Lonchura striata: one gene and its partner. The protein of the gene in region 1 interacts with the protein of each later gene in a pairwise test. Links are inferred from orthologs where the notes say so. Each region holds a gene or a part of one and is shown on either strand. Other genes may lie near its edges.

Region 1 (12,172 bases):
TCCTGGGGGGGAGCTGGGGTGGGGGGCTCTGGCAGCGGGGAGCAGCCCCCCTGAACCCCCTGTTCGCCCTGGGCTCCAGGGGACACCATCACGGGCGTGAACGGGCTGAACGTGGAGGGCATCCGGCATCGGGAGATCGTGGAGATCATCAAGAGCTCGGGCAACGTTCTCCGGTGAGCTTGGGGGGCGCAGGGGAGGCCCGGGTGGCTGCAGCCCCCCACGGCTGACGGCTGCTGACCCACAGGCTCGACACGCTCTATGGCACCTCCATCCGCAGGGCCGAGCTGGAGGCCCGGCTGCAGTACCTGAAGGTGGGCAGGGGCTGGCAGGGGGTCACGAGGAGGGGCTGGGGACCCCCTCGCCAGGGTCCTCACCCCCTCACCCTCCCCGCAGCAAACCCTCTACGAGAAGTGGGGGGAGTTTCGCTCGCTGATGGTGCAGGAGCAGCGGCTGGTGCGGGGTGAGCGGGGACCAGGGGGCTGGCGGGGGAGGATTTTGGGGCACCAGCCGCCCTCCCTGACACCCCCGTGTCCCCCATCAGGTGTGGTGGCCAAGGACCCCAGCATCTACGACACGCTGGAGTCCATCCGCTGGTGCCTGCAGGGGGAGGGACTGCCGGGGGGCTCCTCCCGGGCCAGCGGCAGCGATGATTCCCTCTACCAGACCTGCGTCTTCGCCTCTTCCAGCTCCCTGGACGGGGACAAGGATGGCGACAGGGACAAGGATGAGGACAGCGGGGGTCCCGCGCCGCCCCCGCCGCGCCCCCGACCTGCCCTGGCCCGCAGCGCCAGCCTCAAGTGTGCGGGGGGCCCGGGGGCTGCGGGGAGGCTTTGGGCCCGGGCCGGGGACCCCGGGGAAGGAGCGGCCGCCCCCCGCAAGAGCCGGCACAGCAGCTTCCGCCGGCGGCTGCTCAAGTTCATCCCGGGTCTCAACCGGGCGCTGGAGGAGGAGGAGAGTCACCTCTAGCCCCCCCCGCCCGGCCCCCCAGGACTATTTATTTATTTATTGCGAGGGGCTTCATTCCCCCGGCCCCCATCCCTGGGGGCTGCAGAAGGAGGTTTGGGTTGGCCCCGGGGGGGTTCTGATTTGGCCCCTCCGACCCCGGCCCGTGGGGATGGTGACGCCGAGGGACGGACGCGACACCGAGGGACAGACGTGAGGAGCCTCCCGAAGCGGCTCCGTTCTCGGGAACGGCGCCTCCCTCCCCGGAGGGGAGCACCGGGGTAGCCCCGCACTCCCCAGGCTGGGGGGGCTGGGGGGGTCCCACCCCTGCCCCCCCGGGCTGTTGTACCACGCCGGTGCTCGCCAATACAGAGAGGATTTGCAGCGGTGTGTGGCTGTGATGAGAGGGGACAGAGCCCCCCGTGGGGACCAGGACGGGCAGGGTGGGCTGGGGGTGACCAGCTGCTGTCACCTTGGCCGTGAGCGAGCTCCCGGGGACCCCCCGTGTCCCCCCGCCTGCCGCAGCCCCCGGTGCCGTCCCCACGTCCCGGTGCCGTCCCCACGTCCCGGCGCTGCGGGGCCCCGGCCAAGCCAGGCCCTTCCTGCCCCGTTTCCTCCGGCAGCCGGCGGGAAGCGGCTCCCGCCCCGAGCCCTTCCGCCCGCGGGGGACACGGTGCCCACGCAGGACGGGCACTGGTGGGGTCCCCCCGACCTGCCTCAGTGTCCCCCAGAGCCACTGAAGCGGCGTGCAGAGGAGCTGGGGGACACAAAGCACCCCCGGAGCTGGGGGACTGCTGCAGCACCGGTTCCCTTGCACAGGCGCTCCGTGGAGCACCGAGAGCCCCCAGCCCTCTGCTCTGCCTCAGTTTCCCCCTTTGGCCGGGCTGTTGCATGTCTGGGGACCCCAATTCTCCCCTTGCCCTCCCCGTCCCCCCCGGGAGAGCCTCTGGAGGTCTGGGGGTGAGAACTGCGGGTGTCTGTGCGTGCCGTGGAGCGGGGGGTGGGGGCTCAGCTGGCTCCCCCACACTCTCCTGCCTTGTCCCCGTTCCAGGGCAGCTCCGTGCTGGACATTTATGGTCTGGCCCCGCAGCCCCGGCGGCTCCCGGTGTCCTCCCGCGTGCTGCCCGGGTCGGAGCATCCCGTTCCCGTCAGAGTCACCACGGCACCCCCCGTGGCAGCTGCCACCCCACGCTGAGCTTTTTATAGCCCCGACCTGGGGCTGCGTGCGCCCGGGAATGGGCAGATGGCCGTGGGACACCGGGGTCACGCGTGGCACCGGCTGAGCCGAGGCTGCGGGGTACAGACCGGGAACGCCCCGGAACCGCCTGTCATTACCGATAAAGATAGGCCCGGGGCAGGGAGCCAGGGGTAGCCGTGAGCCCCGGCTGATCAGCGCCCGGGCACGGGCACCCTGCAAATCCCAGCGCCCACCCTGGGGCTGCCTGGCGGTCATCCTGTCCCCGTGTCCCCACCTGGGTGTCAGGGGGGATCCCTGGGGCTGCTGTGAACAGGGGTCCCCCCGCTGCACCCCCGTGGCCTTGCCAGGGTGGCTGGGCTCGGGTTTCCTCCCCCGAAGCCATCGCGGTGCCCGCGACCTCTCCCGGGGTACAGCTAATCCCGGCTGCGGGGGCTGCCGCTGCCACCCTCCTGCCTCCGGTACCGCCGCCACCAAGCCAGGGATGCGGGGGGCTGCGACCCCCGGTGGCTTTGGGACCCCCGGCAGCTCTGCGACCCTCCTGTCTGACGTGTCCCGAGGACTCGTGGCCGAATCCCCGGGCTGGCACCGGCCCTGCCCCTCGGCAGGTCCCGCCGGGCCCGGGGGATCCCTCTGGGGGCGGCCCCGGTGGTGCCGCGGGATCCCCAAGACGTCAGTGACCGGTGTGACGTCAGCGGGCAGGTGTGATGTCACGGAATCCCGTCGGGGGCGGGCGACAGCCAGAAGCGGCGCCGGAGCGAGGGAACGGCTCCCGGTCCCGGGCCGCCACCTCCGGTACCCCCGTGCCGCCACCTCCGGACCCCTCTGGTGCCGGGCTGCCCCCGCCCCGGCTGCTGCTCACGGGGCCGGGGATTTCGTGAGGCCATGCAGGGTCCCGGTACCGGAGGTCCCGGCAGCACCCCCGATGCCGGCAGCGGCTGCCGGGACACCGGGGCACCGGCCCGGCCCCGCGGTGGAACCGTACCGGGGCCGCTGCCGCTGCAGGGGCACTAACGGGGGAGCTGTCACCCCCGGGGGCGCTGCCAGCCCGGGCACGGCGGGCCGGGTGCCCCCAGACCCCCGGTTTGTCCCTGGGAATGGAAACCGGCGGGTACGGCGAGGGACGGGACGGAGCCGGTACCGACGTGTACCGGGTCGGTAGCAGGAGATCCCAAGGGAGTACCGGGGTAGTATCGGAGGGTAGCGGCTCAGAAGCTCCGCGGTGCTACCGGAGGGTATCGCGGGAGGTGCTGGAGTCGTACCGGAGGGTACCGGGATGGTACTGGAGGGTATCGCGGGAGGTGCTGGAGCCGTACCGGAGGGTACCGGGATGGTACCGGAGGGTACTGAGGGGGTACCGGCGTGGCACCGGAGGGTGCTGCGGGCTTGTGGGTCCCTTCCGCTCACCGTCCGCCCTCCCGCGGGCCCGGGCCGGCTCCGCACCGGCTGAGCTCATCTTTCCAGCCCGCGGGCGCTGTTCCCGGCGCCGGCGCCCGCCAGCAGCCGCCGCTCTTTCCATCGCCCCGGCCAGGGGCTCCCCGCGGGGACCGGGCGGGGGCGGGACCCCGCGGCACTCCCCCCGCACCCGGCACCGAGCGGGAGGAGCCCGGGGGTACCGGCGCCGCTGAGCACCGGAGATACCCGCATGGGCACTGGGCATAGCGGCACCGGGGGTACGGGAGATCACCGGGGAGAACGGCGGCGGGGGGACACCGGGAATGGGGCAGTGAAGATACCGGCACCGAGGGGGCTCCGGGGATGCCAACACCGAGGGGACACCGGGGATAATGGCACCAGAGATCCTGGCGCCTCGAGGGCACCGAGAATGGTGGTACCGGCAACGAAGGGACACCGGGGATACCGACACCGAGAGCCTACCGAGGCTGGGCACTAAAATGATGCCAGCACCGAGGGGGCACCGAGGGTGGGCGCAGCGGAGTACCAGCAAGGAGGGGACACCGGAAATACCGGCAGCGAGAGAGGGCCGGGGCTAGAGGCAGCGGGGGACGCCAGCCCCGGGTTCGCAGCAGCGAGGAGACACCGTGCATACCGAGGAGCCACCGGCTGCGAGGACACCGGGGATACCCCTGACACCGGGGCCTCCCTCCCCCCGCCGGCGGCCCCCGGTGCCCCGGGGGGATATGTGGGGAAGCGAGGGGCGCCCGGGCTATTTTTAGCCGGGGCCGCGGGGGTATTTTTAGCCGGGGCCGCGGGTGCGTCAATGGAACCCCGCGTGCGTCACGGCCGCGCCCCCGCCGGGGCCGCCCCCCCCGTGCGTCACCGGCCCCGCGCCGCCCCGCGCGTCACCGAGCGCTTAAGAGAAAGTAGTGGCGGGGCCGGAGCCCGGCGGAGCCCGCGGAGCGGCGGTGGCAGGAGCAGGAACCGGAGCGCCGCCGCGCCGGCACCCGGGTACGGGCGGCACCGGGATGCGGGGAGCGGGTGGGGGGCACCGGGGGCAGGGGGTCGTGCTGGCAGCGGGGGCGGGCTGAGCGCAGCGGCGTGGGGTGTCCCGGTGGCACCGGGGGAGTAGGAGCCGTTGTCCGGGGCGGCACCGGAGGGGTTCAGATCGGGCGTGGCAGGTGGCGCCAAGAGGATCCGGGTCGGGCATCCCGGTGGCACCGGCGGCTCAGGGCGGTGGGCGTCCTGCAAAGTGGATGGATGTGGTCGGGTGTCCCAGTAGCGCCCCGGGCAACCGGGTCGCGCGTCCCCGTGGAGCCGGGGCTCGCGTGTCCGAAGGACGCGGTGGAAGGGACTCCCGGTGCCACCGGGGAGAGTCGGGGGTCCCGGTGGAAGGGACCGGGCTGCGTGCGCTATGCGGGATTGCCCCTTGTGGGTATCCGGTGACACCGGGAGGAGCCGAGTCGGGCGTCCCGCGTGGCGCTGGGAGGTGCACGGGATCGGGCGTCCCAGCGGCACCGGTAGCACCGGGAAAACCCGGGAATCCCGCAGCCGGCGGGAGTTGGCAGAGCGAGAGGTCCCGGTGCCGGGGGTCCCGGGAAGAGCCCGGCACCACCCTCTCCTCCGTGAGGAGCTGCGCAGGACCGGGAGCCGCTAGTTGGGCCATGCGGGAGCGGGGGCTGGTTCCCCCATCACGGCAGCCTAACCGGGGCCAGCTGCAGATGCAGGAAAGCCCCGTCTCAGGGGCAGAGCCACCCCACACCGGGCATCACCCCGGGATCCCCGAGCAGAGCGGTCACGGAACCGGAGAGGGCAGCAGCGGGGCAGGCAGGAGCACGCGGGCAGCGCCGGGCACTGCGAGCAGGGATGTGCCCGCAGCCAGCCCCGTGCGGGCAAACCCCCCGCTGCCCCCGCGGGCCTGGCAGCAGCCGCTGCGGCATTACCGGGCAGCAGGTGCCGGCAGGGCCGTGGGCAGCGTGAGCCGCCCCCGGTGCCACCGGCTGCTCTCGCCCGCCCGCGGCCCGGGGCCCGGTGCCAGCGGCTGCCACCCGCCCGTGCAGGCGGCAGCCCCGGGGCTGGGCACGGGCGGCTGCCCCGCGCTCCCAAACCAGGAATCTGCAGACAGAGCCCGGCCGTGGGCAGCGCCGAGGCTGCTGCGGGAATCTGTGCCCGGTCCCTGGGGGGGGACAGGGCAGAAGGGACCCCAAATGCTCTCAGCGAGCGGGTGAGAGCCAAAACCTTCAAACAACCGGGAGCACGGGAAGGGTCGAGGCGTTGCATTTGCCAGGGTTTTCATGCAGGCAAGGAAAACTCCCACTGGCACAGACCGTGTCCCCCAGGGCGTGTGCCCAGCACAGTCCCCTCGGCTTCATTCAGGGACAGAAGGCAGCTGGGGGGTCACTGTTCCCTCTGAACCCAGCTGGACACGCACAAACTCCACTGCGACCACCAGCAGGGGGCTGGGGGCTGGTGCCATCCCGTGGGTACCAGAGCTGGACCCACGCTGGATATTTTTAAACCCAGCTCCTGGCGGGTGTCGGCTTTCTTGGTGCCCGAGAGAGCTGCCCAGATTTGGCTGGGGGAATCCGGGGGCTCTGGCAGCAGGGCCGTGCCAGGACGTGGCCGGGGGCCAGTGCAGCGTGACCTTTAAAGGTCTGCGAGATGAATTACATTATCGTCTTGCCATTGGGGTCACTTCTGGCTTGGCTTTCAGCTGGACACAGGACTCCGCTTGTCTTATGTCCCACCAGCTCCACGCACAGCCCCGGGGGGCTCCAGGGACTGAGGGTGGGCTCCTCTCCCCCTCACCTGGAGGGCTGCCTGCACCAATTTTCCCAAAAAGCCCCAAAAGGGGTTACGGGGGAAGTGAGATCCCCAGAACCCAGTTCAGCCCCAACTCTGGCTCCCTTGGCCAGCCCTAGGGCTTGGGAATCTGCTGGCCACATTCCTCCCTCCTTCCCTTTCGGGGGCTTTTGCTAAGCCAGCGTTTTGGGGAATGTCCTTTGCACCCATTGGCTGTGCCGTGACCTTTCTCAGGGACAGCGGTGGCCGCCACCACGCAGCCAGTGGCTATGGAGGTGCAATTCCAGCACGAGGGGAGCATCCCACGCTCCCCACCGTGTCTCCATCCTCTGCCTGGATGCCGGGGGGCGGTGTCGGGGCGCCGCTGACGCCCCTCTCTCCCCGCAGAGATGCCCTGCATCCAGGCGCAGTGCAGCACCACGGGCGCCGGCCCCTGCGAGCGCTGCCCGGCCGAGCTGCTGAGCCCCGAGGGCGGCCGATTCCCCATGGAAGTGGCCGGAGCCGACCTGGCGGCCGCCCCCGCCCTGCCCAGCTTCAGCACCTTCATGGAGGGCTACGCCGGCGAGTTCGACGCCTTCCTCTACCAGCTGCCGGCGAGCGGCCAGTCCAGCGCCGCCGCCGCCGCCGCCTTCAAGCTGGAGGACTTCCAGGTGTACGGCTGCTACCCCAGCGCCTTCGGGGGGCAGCCGGACGAGACCCTGTCCTCCAGCGGCTCGGACTGCTACGGGAGCCCCTGCTCCATCCCCTCGCCCGCCACGCCGGGCTTCCAGCCCCCGCAGGCGCCGGGCTGGGAGGGCTCCTTCGGGCCGTACTCGCCGCTGCCGAACTACGAGGGTGGGCAGCCCTGGGCCGAGCCGGCCAAGGGCGGGGGGTCGCAGCCGCCTTTCTTCGCCTTCGGCCCCCCGGCCCCCAGCCCCGGTGGGTCCCCTGCCGCCCTGAAGGGGCAGCTTGGCGCCTCGCCCCGCGTGGACCCGCGGCTGCTGGACACGGACGCCTTCCCCCCGGCCCAGGGGCCTGCCAGGGGTTTCGGGGGGCTGCCCCTGGCCCCCGCCGCGGCGCTGCTGGAGGGGCCGGCGCTGGCGCCCAGCAAGGTGCGCAGCCCCGGGGCGGGCGAGGGCCGCTGCGCCGTCTGCGGGGACAACGCGTCCTGCCAGCACTACGGCGTGCGCACCTGCGAGGGCTGCAAGGGCTTCTTCAAGGTAAGGGGAACCCCCGGGCCGTGGCTGCCGCCGGGATACTCCCACAGTGCTTTGCGGCGGCAGGAGGATGCTGCGGGGTGTCCCGGGGAGGGGCAGGGCAGGGAGCACGGCCGCCGAGCCCTCCCCACGGACACGGAGCCGGATGCTGGGCTGGAGAGGGAGGCAGGGGAGGACAGAAGGGCTTTTGTTCGGAGCTCAGCGCCCCGGGCTGAGCTCGGCCGCTCCTTCCCCACCCGCAGCGCACAGTGCAGAAGAATGCCAAGTACATCTGCCTGGCCAACAAGGACTGCCCTGTGGACAAGCGGCGCAGGAACCGCTGCCAGTTCTGCCGCTTCCAGAAGTGCCTGGCCGTCGGCATGGTCAAAGAAGGTAGCAGGGTCCCGTCCCGGGTGGGGGCACCCAGCAGGAGCGGGGAGTCCCCTCTCTGCAGCCTCTCTGGCTGCACTGAGGGCACACACTCACTGCAAGTTCCAACCGCAGTGGTCCGGACCGACAGCCTGAAGGGGCGGCGGGGCCGGCTCCCCTCCAAGCCCAAGCAGCCGCCGGACACGTCCCCGGTCAGCCTCATCACCTCGCTGGTGCGGGCACACATTGACTCCATCCCCAGTGCCACCAAGCTCGACTACTCCAAGGTAGGGCTGGTGCCACTCCATGCCCCGCCCAGGGCCGTGCCAGGGCTGGGGCTGGGTCCTGACCCATCCCCATCCCAGTTCCTCATCCATCCCCATCCCAATCCTGATCCTGTCTCCATCCCAATCCTGATCCTGTCCCCGTCCCAGTTCCTGATTCAAACTCATCCCTGTTGTTAGCCCAGCAGTTCCTGACTTGTTCCCATCCTAGGTCCTGACCCACCCCCATCCCAATTCCTGATCCACCTCTGTCCCAGGTCCTGACCATCCCAATTCCTGACCCATCCCCATCCCAATTCCTGATCCATCCCCATCCCAATCCTGACCCATCCTCTCCCAATCCTGACCCATCCCCCAATTCCTGACTCATCCTGTCCCAGTTCCAGGAGTCAGCCCCGTGCCCGTTTGAGAAGGAGGACTCGGTGGATGTGCAGCAGTTCTATGACCTGCTCACCGGCTCCATGGACGTCATCCGCAAGTGGGCCGAGAAGATCCAGGGCTTCACCGAGCTGCCCAAGGACGACCAGGACCTCCTGCTGGAGTCGGCCTTCCTGGAGCTCTTCATCCTGCGCCTGGCATACCGGTGAGCCCCGGGGCAGCGCGGAGCAGGGGGAACCCGAGCCGTGCCCAGGGGTGACGCCCGGCTTTGTGCTGCCAGCTCCAAGCCGGAGGAAGGGAAACTCATCTTCTGCAACGGCGTGGTGCTGCACCGGCAGCAGTGCGTGCGCGGCTTCGGGGAGTGGATCGACGCCATCCTCGAGTTCTCCCAGAGCCTGCACCGCATGAGCGTCGACGTCCCCTCCTTCTCCTGCCTTGCCGCCCTCGTCATCATCACAGGTGAGACCCAAACCCAGCTCCGGGCCCGGCCCGTCCCCACCCGCAGCCGGTGTCTGTCCCCGCGGTCCCACAGCCTGTGTGTCCCCCCAGACCGGCACGGCCTGAAGGAGCCCAAGCGGGTGGAGGAGCTGCAGAACCGCATCGTGGGCTGCCTCAAGGACCACGTGGCGGCAGCAGGCGCCGAGCCCGGCCGCTCCAGCTGCCTCTCCAAGCTGCTGGGGAAGCTGCCCGAGCTGCGCAGCCTCTGCACCCAGGGCCTCCAGCGCATTTTCTACCTCAAGCTGGAGGATCTGGTGCCGCCGCCACCCATCGTTGACAAGATCTTCATGGACACTCTGCCTTTTTGAGTCCCAGGCAAGGAAGGGGCTGCCGTGAGCTCCTGACCTGCCTGGGGACATCTGGGACCCGCCCTGGGCAACCCTGGTTCAGTCCAAGGATGCCCGGGAACCCCCTGGGCACCCCTGGGTCACCCCTGGGATGCCTGGAACATCCCCTGGGTACCCTAGATCAGCCCTGGGATGTTCCCACCCTATGGGTGACCCCCATAATGCCCAGAAACCACCTGGGCATCCCTAGATCGCTCCCAGGATGCCTGGAACCTGCCCTGGTCACTCCTGGATCAGTCCTGGGATGCCCGGGACATCCCTGTGGATTCCTGAATGACCTCTGGGACACCTGGGACCCCCTGGGCCATTCCCAAGCCTTTATGTATACCCCTGGATCACCCCTAGAATGCCTGGAAAACCCCCCCCCGGGTCATCCACAGGATGCCTGGGACCCCCTGGGCACTCCTGGCTCGCTCCTGGAATGCCTGGGACCACCCCTGCATCACTCCCGGGATGCCTGGGTTCCCCTCTGGATCACTCCCAGGATATCTGGGTCCCTCCTCAGATGCCTGAGTCTTCTTGGGGGCACCCTTGGGGGTTCCCCATGTGCCTTCACGGCCCAGGGTGCAGCCTCGCAGCAGCCCTGGCGTCGTCTTTCCCCGGGGGCATCGCCGGCGCGGTGCCCCCTTCCCCTGTAAAAACGCCCCTGATGTAAATAGCGCCGGCTGGGTCCTGTACAGAGTGGGGGGCGCGGGCGGGGGGTGGCTCCGGCCCCCTCAACCTCGGCCCCTTCCCCTTTATATATATTTTTCTGGGTTTCCCCCTTTTTGGCCGTTTTCTGTATATAAACTTGTACGTACAGTGAGAGGCACTGGGCGGGAGCTTTGTCCCTTGTGTTCCCCTTTAGTGAATATTTGGGGATTGGGAAGGGGGGACAGAGCAGCGGGGCTGGGGACAGCTGGAAGGATGGAGACGGGGAAAAACGGGATTCTGGAGCTGGGGGCAGCCAGAACACCGCGGAGGGGGAGAGCCGGAGGGAGCAAACAGGACACGGGAGCTGGGGACAGCCAGACTGGGGACAGTTAGAGCTGGGGACCGGAGCTGGTGACAGCCGGGGCTCGGGACAGTGGAGATGTCAGAGCTGGGGGAAGCTGGGACACTTGGGCTGGAAAAAAACAAGACGCTGGAGCTGGGACAGCCGGGGCGATGGAGCTGGGGACAGCTGGAGCTCCGGAGCCGGGATGCTGGAGCTGGGGACAGCCGGGCCGGTGGACGTGGGGACAGCCGGGATGCCAACGCCGGCGACAGCCGGGATGCCAACGCCCGGGACAGCCGGGGCTCCGGTGCCGGCGACAGCCGGGATGCCAACGCCCGGGACAGCCGGGACACCGGAGCCGGGGACAGCCGGGGCTCCGGCGCCGGGGACAGCCGGGACGCCGGAGCCGCACGTTGCCCACGCCGCTGCCCTTGAACCGTCACTCACCCCCGGCTGCCGCGGCCCCGCACCTGTCGCCCGCCTGATTTATCCTCCCCAAAATAACCGGGAAGCGTGACCGTGTCCCCCGCTCGTGTTCCTGGGGACGTGGCCATTGCCCTGGCGGGGGGGTGGTGGTGTTTGCGCTCCCGAGCTGGGGACAGAGCCGCGGGCTTCCGAGGCAGGCGAGTGGTGCGTTGTCCCCCGGCTTGTCGCCTTCCTCCTGCCGGGCACAGCCTGGCCCCGGAGCAGACGTTACCGGGGACACCCGGGACGGTGCGGAACAAGGGCCACATTGAGGCGCGGGGCCGGGGGCGACACACAACAAGGGTCCCTCTGTCCCCCCCGCCGCCGCCCCCGCTGCGGGGACAGCGCTGACGCACGGTGGGGCCGCGGACGGGAGTCGGGGCGGGGAACGGCGGAGCTGCGCACAGCGGGCGCGGTGGGCACGGGGTTGGCAGCCGGCACGGCTCGGCACGGCTCTGCTCTGTCCCCTCCTACAACTCAGGGCTGCCCTCGGCCACCATCGCTGTCCCCGTTCCCTCCTCGGCACGGGGACGGGGACGGTACCAGCAGAGCCGAGTAAAAGCAGCTCCGGGGAGAGCTCCGGCCACGCCGCCGGTCCCGGGGCTGCTGGGCACGGATGCGGCTGTGTCGGGGTGTGCCCGGCTCCCACGGCCACATTCCTGCTGCGACTGACACCAAGCCATGTGTCCCCACGGCAGCGCGGCCGATCAGTGCCCCAGATCCCCGTGTCCCCGTTCCCTGTGTCCCCATGTCCATCCATCCCCTCTTCCTGTGTCCCCCCAGGTCCCCACGTCCCTGCTTCCACTACATCCCGTGCCCTGTGTCCCCGTGTCTATCCCTGTCCCCATATCCAGCCGTCCCACTGTCCCTTTGTCCCCCTTCATGTCCCTTTATCCAGTATTCCCCCCGTGTCCCCATATCCCTGTGTCACGCTGTCCCTTGTGTCCATCTGTCCCTGTGCCCCCCCTCCCCCACTTCTTTATTCCCCCACGGTCCTGCTGTCCCATATCCTTGTGTCCCTTCATATCCAGGTGTCCCCCGCGCGTCTGTGGTCCCCACGAGCCCGGTCCGTGCCCCTGTGCCCGGTGTCCCCACGCGTGTCCCGCCGCTGTCCCCGCAGGGGTCAGCGGGGGACACCGGCCCGCCCGCCCCGCTGCAGTACCGCGCGGAGCCGCCAGCACCGGGGGCGCCACGGAGCCGCTGAGCCGCTCTGGGCTGCGGGATTGCAGCTCTATGGCCCCCCTGGAACGAACCAAAACGGGGAGAGGGGAATGGGCGGACTCGGAACGGCGATTCCGCCCCCGGCGGCACCCCGCGGCCGGGAAGGGCACGGAAGGGGCGAA
Region 2 (11,692 bases), on another chromosome or scaffold:
AATAATAGTTCTTCCTGTATAATGAAGGAGAGCTTCTACAGAAGCTCTCCTCAACATTCATGGAAAAGCTGGGGAAAAAAGTGGTATTCTGGAAACACTGCAAATCAACATTCTGTATGCTAGCTTTGTACTAAATGTGGGTAAATCTCCTTAGTCAGATGTGCATAGCCTAAGTATCAGCATCTGTTTTTTCAGGTGTGTACAGCACAGCAGAATAGATTTGTACCTTCATATAAAGGTACTTTCAAATGCTTGGAGACATTGAGTTGAACTGGAAGTTAGGTTGCTAAATATGTATTCATATCTAAACAAATCTTCCAATAAGTTACTTAAAGAAATGTGAAAAAGTTCACCCCATGCTTGAACTGGAGGAATAAGAATTTTTGATACAAAGCAATGATCTGAAGACAGCAGAATTTTTTTGTTGGGGAAAGATGAGCACATAGCACTTATACAAAAAACACAAGTAATGGTGCTATAATTTCCACAGTATCTTGCCATGAAACACTCATTACTTGTCACAGGTCCTCACTGAATGACACAGGACAAGGATGGCCTGCATCTCCATTATTTTAGTATGCAAAAATGTATTGAAATATTGGGCCTCATTCTTCACAGCCTCATATTTTGTACAAATTTATGCTTGTGACACATGGTACATCATGCCAAAATTCCGACTACAGGAATGCTTTATGCTCTCACTCTCATGGATGTGAAACGAAATGTAAATTACAATTCTAGAAACAACCTAAGGATCTGGGACCATGGAATCAAGCAGGGCAATCAAACCACTTCAGTCACTGAATGAGGCAGTCCTTAATGCTACTGAACAACCTTCCTCCAAAAAGCTAACACAGCTTCCAGGCTAAGTAAAACAATGTTCAATATGGCAATATTTAAAGAGCACCTTCTCCATGTTTGTCTGTGTACTGGAATGCTTGTACTAAACGAAGTGTTTCATCCACTGATCTCCCGACAGGAAGGTCGTTCATTGTGATCTGTCGAAGGATTCTCTTATTGTCAATAATGAAAAGGCCTCTGTGAGTAAAAAAATTGTGTGTGTGTTAGGAAACAGAATTAACAGTAGTGGTGTTTTCATGCACTGGATGGGAGGAATTTGATGTCTGCAAACATCATATAATACTAACCACCAGTAACCTACCATTCTTTACCTGGGTATCAGAGGACATGAGCTGAGCTCCATTTAAAACAAAAAGGACACACTTCTTTGCAGAACATGGAACTAAGCTCTCACAGGCCCTGCCAGGGGATGCTGCAGATGCTAGGCCATTACAGGGATCCCAAAAGAAACTACTCAGTTTTAGGCAAATGCATCTCTTCAGGTAACCTTAGTCTTGACTCCACCTGGACTTGGGAGGTCCCTGAGCAACTGCAGTTTTGGGAAATCCTGCTCGTTTGCCCTGCTCTAGGTTTCTACTGATGCCTGCTGTTTAACAGGATATTAACCTTGACCCTTCTTCTGACTCATTATGACTAAATTTCTTGTGTTCTTCAATATTTGCTACTTGCCATGAACCCCCAAGTAAAAGCTGCTCTAAAACAAAAATTTCAAATGCTTCTTTAAATATGAAGCAGTAAGCAGTAAGTAAGTAAGCAAAACCCCAACCCAACTGCAACCAAGTGAAATACCTAAGTGTGTGTCCTTGGTCTTCCAGATACACTCCGTAATCCTTTGAAATCTGGTGTGTCAGATCAGAAAGAAGGGGAATCTTCATTGGTCCAAGTCCTCCTTGTTTACGAGGAGTATTAATCCTTTGAAGGAAAGGAAATAAGAGATGTATTTCTCATACTGATTTATATTCCCTACACAAGTCAGAAATCACAAGCTAAATCAGTATGGACAGAAGGATCTAGTGCAAGTGACATTTTTTTCTGTTCTGCACATAAAGAAGATGGAACAGTATTTGTGGCTTGCAGGTTTTGGCCACATCTGTTAATGATGACCTTTTTCTTATCAGTTCCATTTGTTTTATGCCAACATGCTCATGAACTGGGACACGTGAAACATTTACTGATGATTTCATTAATATTTTCTAGTAGTATTTTTTGGACTGAGACATGACATATTGCAAGCAATACATATTAAACAAGCTTAAAGAATCTTTATTCTTTCACACACTAGGATTAAAACTTTAAACATTTGTGTCAACAGCATCACACTTTCACACATTATGATATACCTCCACAGGCTAAAAATCTGGGGAATACTGTTCTTTTACTAAGTTGGAATCATGAATAAATAATGTTTAGTGAAAGACAAGAGAAAGATACATACCATGCTAAGTGGGTGAATTTTGCGTCCACAGAACATGCTACTACTTCAGTATTTATTGCTCTGAATTCTTCAATTCGGTCACTGAAGGCAATGATCTCAGTTGGACAGACAAATGTACTAGATGATTTAAGACAAGATAAAAGTCAAAATTTCATGAGAAAGTCAGTAAATTCTCTGCCTAACTTTAAATGGTGTATTTATAGTAAATTATTTCAGCTTTTGCTTATTTTTATTGCTCCTTCAAGTATTTAACCAAAATGCTGCCTGACAAATCCTCCACCCTCAGACTCCAGCTTAGTTAGTAATGGATTATTTCTGAATACTCTAAATCTACAGTTATTTTACAATCTGCATTCAGAGCTTGTACAGTTACTTCCTTTTAGACTTTACAAATGTGGCTGAATTTAAGCACTATAAACCAATTCTTTCAGAGGATCATACTATAATTTGTTGTTACTGTGCAAATCTGCAAGTTTTAACTAATTTGTCTTCAACTTTTTCTATTACAGAAGAACTGAAGTAGTAAAGCTAGTGATGTTATCATATTAAAAGTAGTTATGCACCTCTGTCCTCTTATCTTCATTTTGTGGAAAAGAATGGGATTGTCCTTTAAAAAGCAGAGATGTTTTCACTCAGTGAAGTTACTGCATTCTAAATAAAGGAGGTTAATGCTAAGTGCTCACAGGATGTTATGGGATGAGCTTAAAGCGAAAATGCCACCTCTTGGATATATTGTACACACTCTAGAAAGGATGCTTTCTTCTACTTGCAGCACTGATTTACAGCACGAAACAATACATAGAGTCTGCCTAACTAGGTTAGGCATTTGTTTTGTTTGGAGACACAAATTAGTGGACACAGTTACTAGGACAAAGACTGTGTTGTCATTTTACCAATGCATGATGAGAAAACAAATGCAAAGAATATATTTTCTTCTGTCATTCCTTTCTTCTCTCCCAAATTCTCACCAAACAAAAAATACAAGACCTCAGAAAAGAGAAGAATTAATGAATTACGGATCTAGTGTAGCTGCACTCAGTGTTATGTCTACAGTGCTCCTACTTACAAGTCAAGAGGGTAGAAGAAGAAGACAAGGTATTTTCCTTCATAATCAGTTAACTTCAGCTCTTTAAACTCTCCATTTATGACTGCTGTTCCCTCCCAGTAAGGTGCTGGCTTGGAGACTGAAATGCAAAGAACATTGAATTAGAAGTCAGAATATAACACCTGTGTTCAAGCCAAGCTGCCCCAGGACAGCTGTTCTTCCTTTTGCTTGAAAAACAATCTGCAGCACAGTTCCAAGATGAAACTGCTTTCCAGCTCTAAACAGGTTACAGAACGATGAAGAAATGAAGGCTTTAGTACACATACAAAGTAAATAATTTGACCAGCTTGTGCTCATACATGAGCCCTGCTGATCACCGACAATCAAGGCCACACAAACCTTATCTGGGCTGACTGAACAAACCCTGTGTGCACTGCCAGCTCAAGGCAACTGCTAGACTGCAGGGGAAAGCTCTTTAATACTTCAGGTACTCTCATTGTTCTGTTAAAAATAGCTGTTGGGAACCAGAAGCACAAAATAGTTAAAATTCACTTTACTTTTTAGCCATGGAAACCTGTCTGGAATTCTGGTCCACAAAAAATATACACCACAACATGGTTAAAGAAAGACAAACGCCTAAAAATGCAGCATATGTTTATTAAGTTACAACTCCTAAGCAAAATTTAACTTGAAGACAGCTATGTTTTAAAAAAATATCCAGTTGAAAGGCATGAAATGTATTTACTATTCCTATCCGAAGCGATTAACCTTGAATTTAATATATTAAAAACTAATCTGCAGGTACTGTTTTCATACCACTGTGAATTCTGAGACAAAGGATAGGGTATGCTGGAATTACAAGGTGGTATGAATACACTTGCCATGTCAAGGATATTGACGTATATCTCCAACAAATTAGGGAAAAACTTCTGAGAAAAATACATGGAATCTTAAATATTATCTGGACAATGCCTGAATTGTTTGGCTCTCCTTTCCTTAGAACAACCCACAGCTGCAGAATATCGTTCTCAAGGATGTGTAACAAGGACCTTCAGATTATGAGGGAGAAGGAAAAGATATTAAACGAAATACTGTATATCTTGACTCCTTTCTAAATTAAGGTATCGGTTACAAATATCTTGGCTGATTTTCCCTCTTTTTTTTTTTTTTTTTTTTTTTGGTAGCATCTGCTTGCAAACGTTTAAAACAGAATGTATGATGTATGCCCTGCTCTGTAAAGGAAAAGCATTTAAAACTCTCACATGGAAGATATCTGTGTGACCTCTCTGTACTCTCCGTCCTGCAGGCCAGACTTTGAGCAGGTGTCCCTGCACATCTCACAGCGATGCGATTTGCGGTGTTTGTCCCCAGGTCTGTCACGTAAAGCACTTAAACCGCACCAGAGCCCCGGCACGAGAGCAGCGCCAAACCCAGCGCGGCGGCGGCGGGCCCGGGAGGCGCCGTGCATTGTTTGTGATCCACTGCAGTGCGAGCACAGAACGTTCCTGCGGATCCCTCAAGCGCTCCCCCGAACTCGTTCGCCATCTCCGGAACCGCGGGCCTCGCCGGAGCCCGTCGGACGGGCCCACGATGGACACGCAGCTCCGCAGGAGCCGGCCCGCCCTCGCTGCTTCCCTCCGCCCCGCGGCCGAGGCCGCAGCACAGCCGGTGGGCGCGGCGGGGCTCGGGAGCCGCGCGCTCCGCCCGGCGCGGCGCCGCCGCCGCCCGCAGCCCCGCGGCGCGCTGCGAACATCCCCGCCCGGCCCCGCGCTCCCGCAGCCCCGGCCGCGCCCAGCACCTACTCTTGGCCTGGCTGAGGTGCAGCGAGTGGTCGGAGACCGGCAGCCGGGCCGCCTCCCCGGGGTACACCTGCCCGCCCGCGTAGTAATGGCACTGCTCGTCCCCGCGCTGCCGCGCCGGGCGCGGCTCCTCCGCCTCCGCTTCGCCGCCCAGCGCCGCCGCCAGCAGGAGCAGCAGCAGCGCGGAGCGCCGCGCCCCGGCCCCGCCGCCCGCCTCCATGTCCCGCCGAGCGACTGCGCGGCCCCGCGGCGAGGGGCGGCGGCGCCGGGGAGGAGCTTGGTGCGCACACCCGCCCGCCGCATGGCCGGGCCGGGCCGTGTGCTGGCCCCGGGCCCTGCACCGCCAGCCCGGGTCCGGCGCGGGAACCCCGGCCCGGGTCCGGCGCAGCCAGCCCGGGTCCAGTACAGGAACCCCGGCCCGGGTCCGGCACGGGAACCCCGGCCCGGGTCCGGTACAGGAACCCCGGCCCGGGTCCGGCACGGGAACCCCGGCCCGGGTCCGGTACAGGAACCCCGGCCCGGGCCCTGCACCGCCAGCCCGGGTCCGGCGCGGGAATCCCGGCCCGGGTCCGGCGCGGGAACCCCGGCCCGGGTCCGGCGCGGGAATCCCGGCCCGGGTCCGGTACAGGAACCCCGGCCCGGGTCACAGCGCAGCCAGCCCGGGTCCGGCGCAGGAACCCTGGCCCGGGTCCGGCACGGGAACCCCGGCCCGGGTCCGGCACGGGAACCCCGGCCCGGGTCCGGCACGGGAACCCCGGCCCGGGTCCGGCACGGGAACCCCGGCCCGGGTCCGGCACGGGAACCCCGGCCCGGGTCCGGTACAGGAACCCCGGCCCGGGCTGTGGGGCCGGGCGCTGGGCGCGGGCAGTGCCGCGGGGCTGCGGGCTCGGTCTCCGGCCTCGGAGGGAATGGGAGTGACGGGCTGTGCAGAGAAAGGGGGAAAGAACACGTGTGTGTGTGGAGAGAGCGCACGAATCCGGATTGCAGAAGGAAACTGATTGTGAGGGGCTCCCTCTGCTATCGCCTCTCATCTGTGGCAGCGTGGGTTCTGTGGGCACGCCACCACTCGCGGCCATACCCAGCTATGCCAAATGCAGATTGTGCATTCTGGCCTCACGAATAGAGGAAATGCAGAAAAGGGGTACTGCCTCAGGCCCAAAACCTTGAATTGTCAGCTGGGCAGCAGCTCATGAATGGGCAGCATGTAGTGCACGTGGTGACTGTGTAAGAGTGTGGTGCGACAGAAATTAAATACTAAGTGCCTTAATTCACAGAATCACAAAATGGTTTGGGTTGGAAGGGACCTTTAAAGATAGTCTATTCTAATATGCCTCCAATGGCAGGGTCATTTTCAGCTAGATCAGGTTGCTCAGAGCCCTGTCCAGCCTGACCTTGAATGTTTCCAGGGTTGGGGCATCCACCTCTGTTCAACCTGTGCTGTATTTTGCCACCCTCATTGTAAAAAATGTCTTTATATGTGGTGTTAAGCACTATATGGCATTGTAATTCGAAACCATTACTCCTTAGCCTATCACAATAGGCTCTCCTAAAAAGTCTGTCCCCATCTTCCTTAAAAGCCCCCGTAGGTACTGGAAGGCTGCTCTAAAGTCTCTCTGGAGCCTTCTCTTCTCCAGGCTGAACAACCTCAACATTTGCAGAAGAGATGCTCCAGCACTGTGATAATTTCTGTGACCCAGATGCTTTGGTTCAAGTTTGCCCAGTGAGAGGTCATTTTCCTCAGTGCTGAGTAGATTGTGGTTCATATCACAAAACAATTACATATAAGCATATAAGATAAGCATAGATTGAATGTAATTCCACAGATTTTGAAGACAGTAAGCAGGCTTTGACAAGCAGTTGGTAAGGCTTTGCAGCACAATTTCTGGTTGAATAGGCATACCTATTGGACAGGGACAGGTCAGGTCATCTGTCAAGTGTATCAATTAAATTCTACCCATGATCCTTAAAAGTAAGGGTGTGAAAGAGCTGGAGCTGTCCCTTACCAAAAGTGTTGATCTTTTGTGCCTTAAGCACTGTGGATGCCATCTTCTGGGAAAACTGGTGGTCCAGTAAAAGCTGTCCAGACTGATGATTTCAGGATCGTCTGCACTGCAGCCTGTCTCTGCAGATGATGTGTGATAAATGCTGCAGGATGCTGTGGTACCTGTGCCAGAATGGACAGTACAATTTTTTTTTCCTTCAAATGATACAGAACAGGCATGTAAAGAGCAGAGGCAAAAGAATATGCTGAGGGCCATTTTCAAAGAATAAAGGCTCTGTAAAAGAAGAGAAGGAAGGTACCTGTGATTATACATTGTGTCTTGAAAAAATCCTAATATTTTTGTGGTTTTCTGTAACAGATTTCACTCTTTATGAAGATACTTCACAAAATTAAATTCACAGGAGCAGGAGAATCAAGATTTTGCAGGCATGCTTGGACTTCTTAACCTATGATTTAAGTGTTCCTTTCTCCCAAAACTTGGACTTCTCTCCAGAAAGGTCTCCTTTCCCATCTCTTGTGGTATTTGCCTTTAAATTCCAGTCTAGGTTCTACAAGTTAGGGTCATGCCACTCATATCCTTACTGCCACAGTAATAATCTTCCTTGGGCACATTTGCCCACCTGAAGGAAGGAATTGAAGATTATTGAGGGTCAGAAGTGTAAGGCTCTGGAAGATCCTTCTCATGAGTACAGGAGCAAAACACCTGCATATTTACCAAGCTTGATCAGCATGTGTAGAATTATAAAAAATTGTATCAAATGTCTGCCTAAAGAGGAAATGAACTTGATGGCACATGAAGTTCCCTTGCCCTGTTTTTCTCACTGGGAGTTGGTGGTGGCCATTCTCTGTTCATACCTCCCCAAGTGCTGAAAGCAGGATAAAACCTGTTCTTTTCAGTGCTGCTGTTTGACACCCCCTCCCCTATCAAGGTCATGTCATTAAAAGGAGGATGAAGAAAACTCATTTGCTCATGTTAAACACTCTGGTTGTGGTGGAAAAAAGCATACAATCTGTGTATTCCCATTGATCTTGGAACAAGACAAGCTTTACATTTAAGCATGCTAAAATGTGTTGATAGATTACTGTCTTACATGATCTAACTTTAGTAGCACTGAATTTAATATCAAGTTTTCCTCAGTCTCAGTGCTCATAAGAAAAGTGACAATCTTGGCCTCTGTGAGTTCACAGAGAAAGTTATTTTGGTTGACCCTGCTCTTTTCTTTGTGCTGGTGTTTTGAGCTGTAGGATATGGCAATGATTTGAAAGGTAGACATACAGTAAGGTTGAAAGAAAAAAAAGCAGTTGCAAGGTATGGACTTTGCATAATAGTAAAACCTTGCAGTTGAAAGATATTCCTATGTATTTCTAAATGTGAGAGAAAACCAGTAAAATGAATGCAGTAAAATAGAAAAAAAGCAGGCCTCTTGTGAGTGGAGAAAATGCTGAAGGACAAAAAAAGGTTTTATCTGCAGAATATAATGTTAGTTTAGCAGCACTAATTTGAGGTTCATATGTGATTAAGTATATATAGGCATGGAACATGCCTATATATATGTAGAACATATAGTATATATAGGCATGGATTAAGTATATATATGGATTAAGCATGGATCATGCCTATATATATATATATATGATAGAGTTCAAAAGAGCAACAAGAAAGACTTTCTGGCTGATGGTATACTCTCAAGACTTCTGCAAGTGATTAAAAGATGAAAGCAATTCATAAATGGAATCCATGATGAAACCCAAATATATACCACTCTTCAGAGTCTAAATGGAGAAGATGGCCAGCAGTATTTCTTTTCCCAGTGATTAAATACTTGACTGCATGCTGATTGTTGTGTTTGAATTGGTGATATTAAGTGATGCTGTGAAAATGTGATAAGAGAAACACTGCTACATTCATCCTGTTACACAGCTCTTCTGCAGCTGGGAAGGTTCAGCACATATAAGGGGAAATCTCCTAAATCCTTCCTTTTCCCCACTGTACCCAGGCAGCATTGCTCCTGTCATTCCCTATCCAGCCCCATGAGGAAGGCTCAGTTTTGGCAAAGGGCTTGATAGTGGCAGGATGTCATTGCCACAGTGGCACTGAAGTTATGTAAGCAGGGAGTGATTTAGGTTACTGAAGCAGTTTAGACGTGGTTATGGAGGTTCTGTGTGGTAATAAAATACCTCACTGCAATTTAAATGACCAAACATAAAAATATCTTGGAAAAATTAGTGTAATATATTGTAGCAAGATACCCGTCACCATTTCCTAGAACAGATGGAGCAGATGTTCAATATTGTGCTGGTGAATCTAGCAGTTGGTTTTATTCTCTTCATGGTTTACAGGGACATTTTAACAAATATATTGCATTGCTCATCGTGCATGACAAAAAGTCTATAGCACAGGAAACTTTTCTGGAGAAAGTAGGGTAGAAAACATCTGTTTTGTGAGAGGGATTGGAACAAAATGACCATAATTAAAATTAACAATTAGAGAGCACTTCTTCTCTTTAGCTCTTGCTAAGGCCAGACTGGTGAGGTCAGCTGTGTGTGTGCTGGCTGCAAAGGGGCCTTGAAGAAAGAGTGCATCAAGCTGAGGAGTGTTAGGTGGTGCCATTTGCTTTAACAGAGCTGCCTCCTTATCATAGCAGGACTCCCCACTGGGTAATAATTAGCATTGACTCCATGATTCCAGAAGGCTGATCAATTACTTTATTATCCCATCCCAATCCCATCCTAATCCAATCCTATCCTATCCTATCCTATCCTATCCTATCCTATCCTATCCTATCCTATCCTATCCTATCCTATCCTATCCTATCCTATCCTATCCTATCCTATCCTATCCTATCCTATCCTATCCTATCCTATCCTATCCTTATCCCATCCCATCCCATCCCATTCCATCTCATTCTATCCAAGAAAAAACCATGACCCATGCAGACAGTCCAATACAGACAGACCAGATTTGTCCTTCAAATCCAAACACCATCACCAGTGGCCAATTAAGAAATCAACCTTTAGTAAACAAATCTCCATAACACATTCCACATGTGCACAACAACCGGTGCAGCAAGTGAAGATAGAATTGTTTCTCATTGTTTTCTCTGATCTTCTCACAGCCTTCCCCAGGACAATACCTGGAAAGTTGTGCCTTCTGCTCTCTGTGAAGAGAGCTGTGGCAACATATCCTGACTTCTGCTTGTGTTGTCAGCTAGTGGAAGCAGTATGAACTGAGTAAACATAGACTTTGTAAAACCTGCCCCTTTTATTCTATAGATGCATCATAGACATATTCATTCCTGCAGACTTTGGAGAATGCATTAATGTTTAGAGATGAATTTATGTTTTTCCTCTGCAGACACACCTGCCATAGAAAAGTTCTGCTTCTTTTCTTTTTCCTCTAGCCAGCTCTGCTTCCTATGTCATTGGTGTCAGAAACCCTGCAGGGCCTGTGGGATAGGAGCAGGGCAGAGCAGGTTACTGATGTGTTTGACCATGGCAACAAAGGATGGCTGGTACTGCTAGTCACAGGGCGAGGGGGGAGTATGGTTTCTAAAGCACCTCTGTTCCAAGCTTTCTTCTGCCTCTGTGAGGGCTGACAGAATCTGCAGGTTTGTGAAAAAAACAAACATTGTGAAACCACCTTCTTGAGTTGACAAATCATGTAGTCTTTGCAGGACCTCATCAGTTTTCCTTTGGCAGTCACCTGAGAGTGGGTTACAAGTGTGTTTATGCTCTATCACATTTTTTCTTCCTTTAACAAGTCTGTATGCAAAGAAAGTGCCCAAAACACCTATGTGCACTAGAACAATTTTTGGCCATCTGTACTGATGAGGACAGGGAAAGTCAGTGCTGAACAACACCTGTTAGACATCTGCTGTTCTCTGCAAGTCAGTGGACTGTGAAGGGCAGTTGAGGAATTGCACGGGAAAGCCAATGCTGGATGTCTGGACCTGCTGCTGGCAGCCTGCTGCTGTGCCCTGAGGCCATCACAGCCAGGAGCTTGCCTGCCAAAATCACCTTGCTGGCTTTGTCTGGAGGTGCTGACCAAGGCAGACCTTCACCCACAGAGCAGCAACCTCACTGTGCCAACTGCAGTGATCTCCATCAGTGGCAGTCACAGGTCCCACCCGTGGTTCTGCCTTCTCAGATCTGAACTGAGCCTAGAGCACTCTGGTCCAAGCCTTGAGCTCAGTCAGCCTTTGGGAAAAGGTGGAAAATTTGTCACCTCTCTGCTCAGACAAAGCAAAGCTGTGTCTTGTCCTCAAGAACCATAGCCTCGTGGATGGAAAGAAGCCCTGTGGCAACCTAATTTTCTATTCTCTTAAACCAGAATGGGAACAGATGTTGCTGATGTTTATTGGTGGCACCTGGGGGATGCCTCTTCTGTGGGTAGCCACTAAAGCTTTGCTCAAGCTTATGGCTGTCCTACATGCCTTGCATTTGGGCAGTGAAGGAAAATTGAATATTTAGCTATTGTCAAAAAATTGACCCTACTGTCTGAAGCATGGGTGACCCCTTGATCCGTGTAGGAGAGAAGGCTGCATTCCCAG

What was found.
Region 2: the proteins of NR4A1 (region 1) and PRDX4 interact in a two-hybrid assay, tested with the Homo sapiens proteins (2 studies listed by BioGRID and IntAct). The link is inferred for Lonchura striata from reciprocal best matches to the Homo sapiens genes NR4A1 and PRDX4.

Annotation. Positions count from the first base shown.
Region 1 is NC_134629.1:6,181,116-6,193,287, reverse strand, and holds NR4A1 (nuclear receptor subfamily 4immunitygroup A member 1), read left to right. Parts: upstream 1-6,724; 5' UTR 6,725-6,726; coding exon 6,727-7,536; intron 7,537-7,775; coding exon 7,776-7,905; intron 7,906-8,016; coding exon 8,017-8,168; intron 8,169-8,545; coding exon 8,546-8,748; intron 8,749-8,823; coding exon 8,824-9,002; intron 9,003-9,092; coding exon 9,093-9,349; 3' UTR 9,350-10,199; downstream 10,200-12,172. Other genes in the region: protein TAMALIN, read left to right, coding at 80-173, 245-311, 394-460, 542-966. UniProt on the Homo sapiens protein: Orphan nuclear receptor. Binds the NGFI-B response element (NBRE) 5'-AAAGGTCA-3'. Binds 9-cis-retinoic acid outside of its ligand-binding (NR LBD) domain.
Region 2 is NC_134604.1:103,724,319-103,736,010, reverse strand, and holds the start of PRDX4 (peroxiredoxin-4), read right to left. Parts: upstream 5,377-11,692; 5' UTR 5,361-5,376; coding exon 5,144-5,360; intron 3,481-5,143; coding exon 3,363-3,480; intron 2,414-3,362; coding exon 2,297-2,413; intron 1,774-2,296; coding exon 1,651-1,773; intron 1,039-1,650; coding exon 908-1,038; intron 1-907. UniProt on the Homo sapiens protein: Thiol-specific peroxidase that catalyzes the reduction of hydrogen peroxide and organic hydroperoxides to water and alcohols, respectively.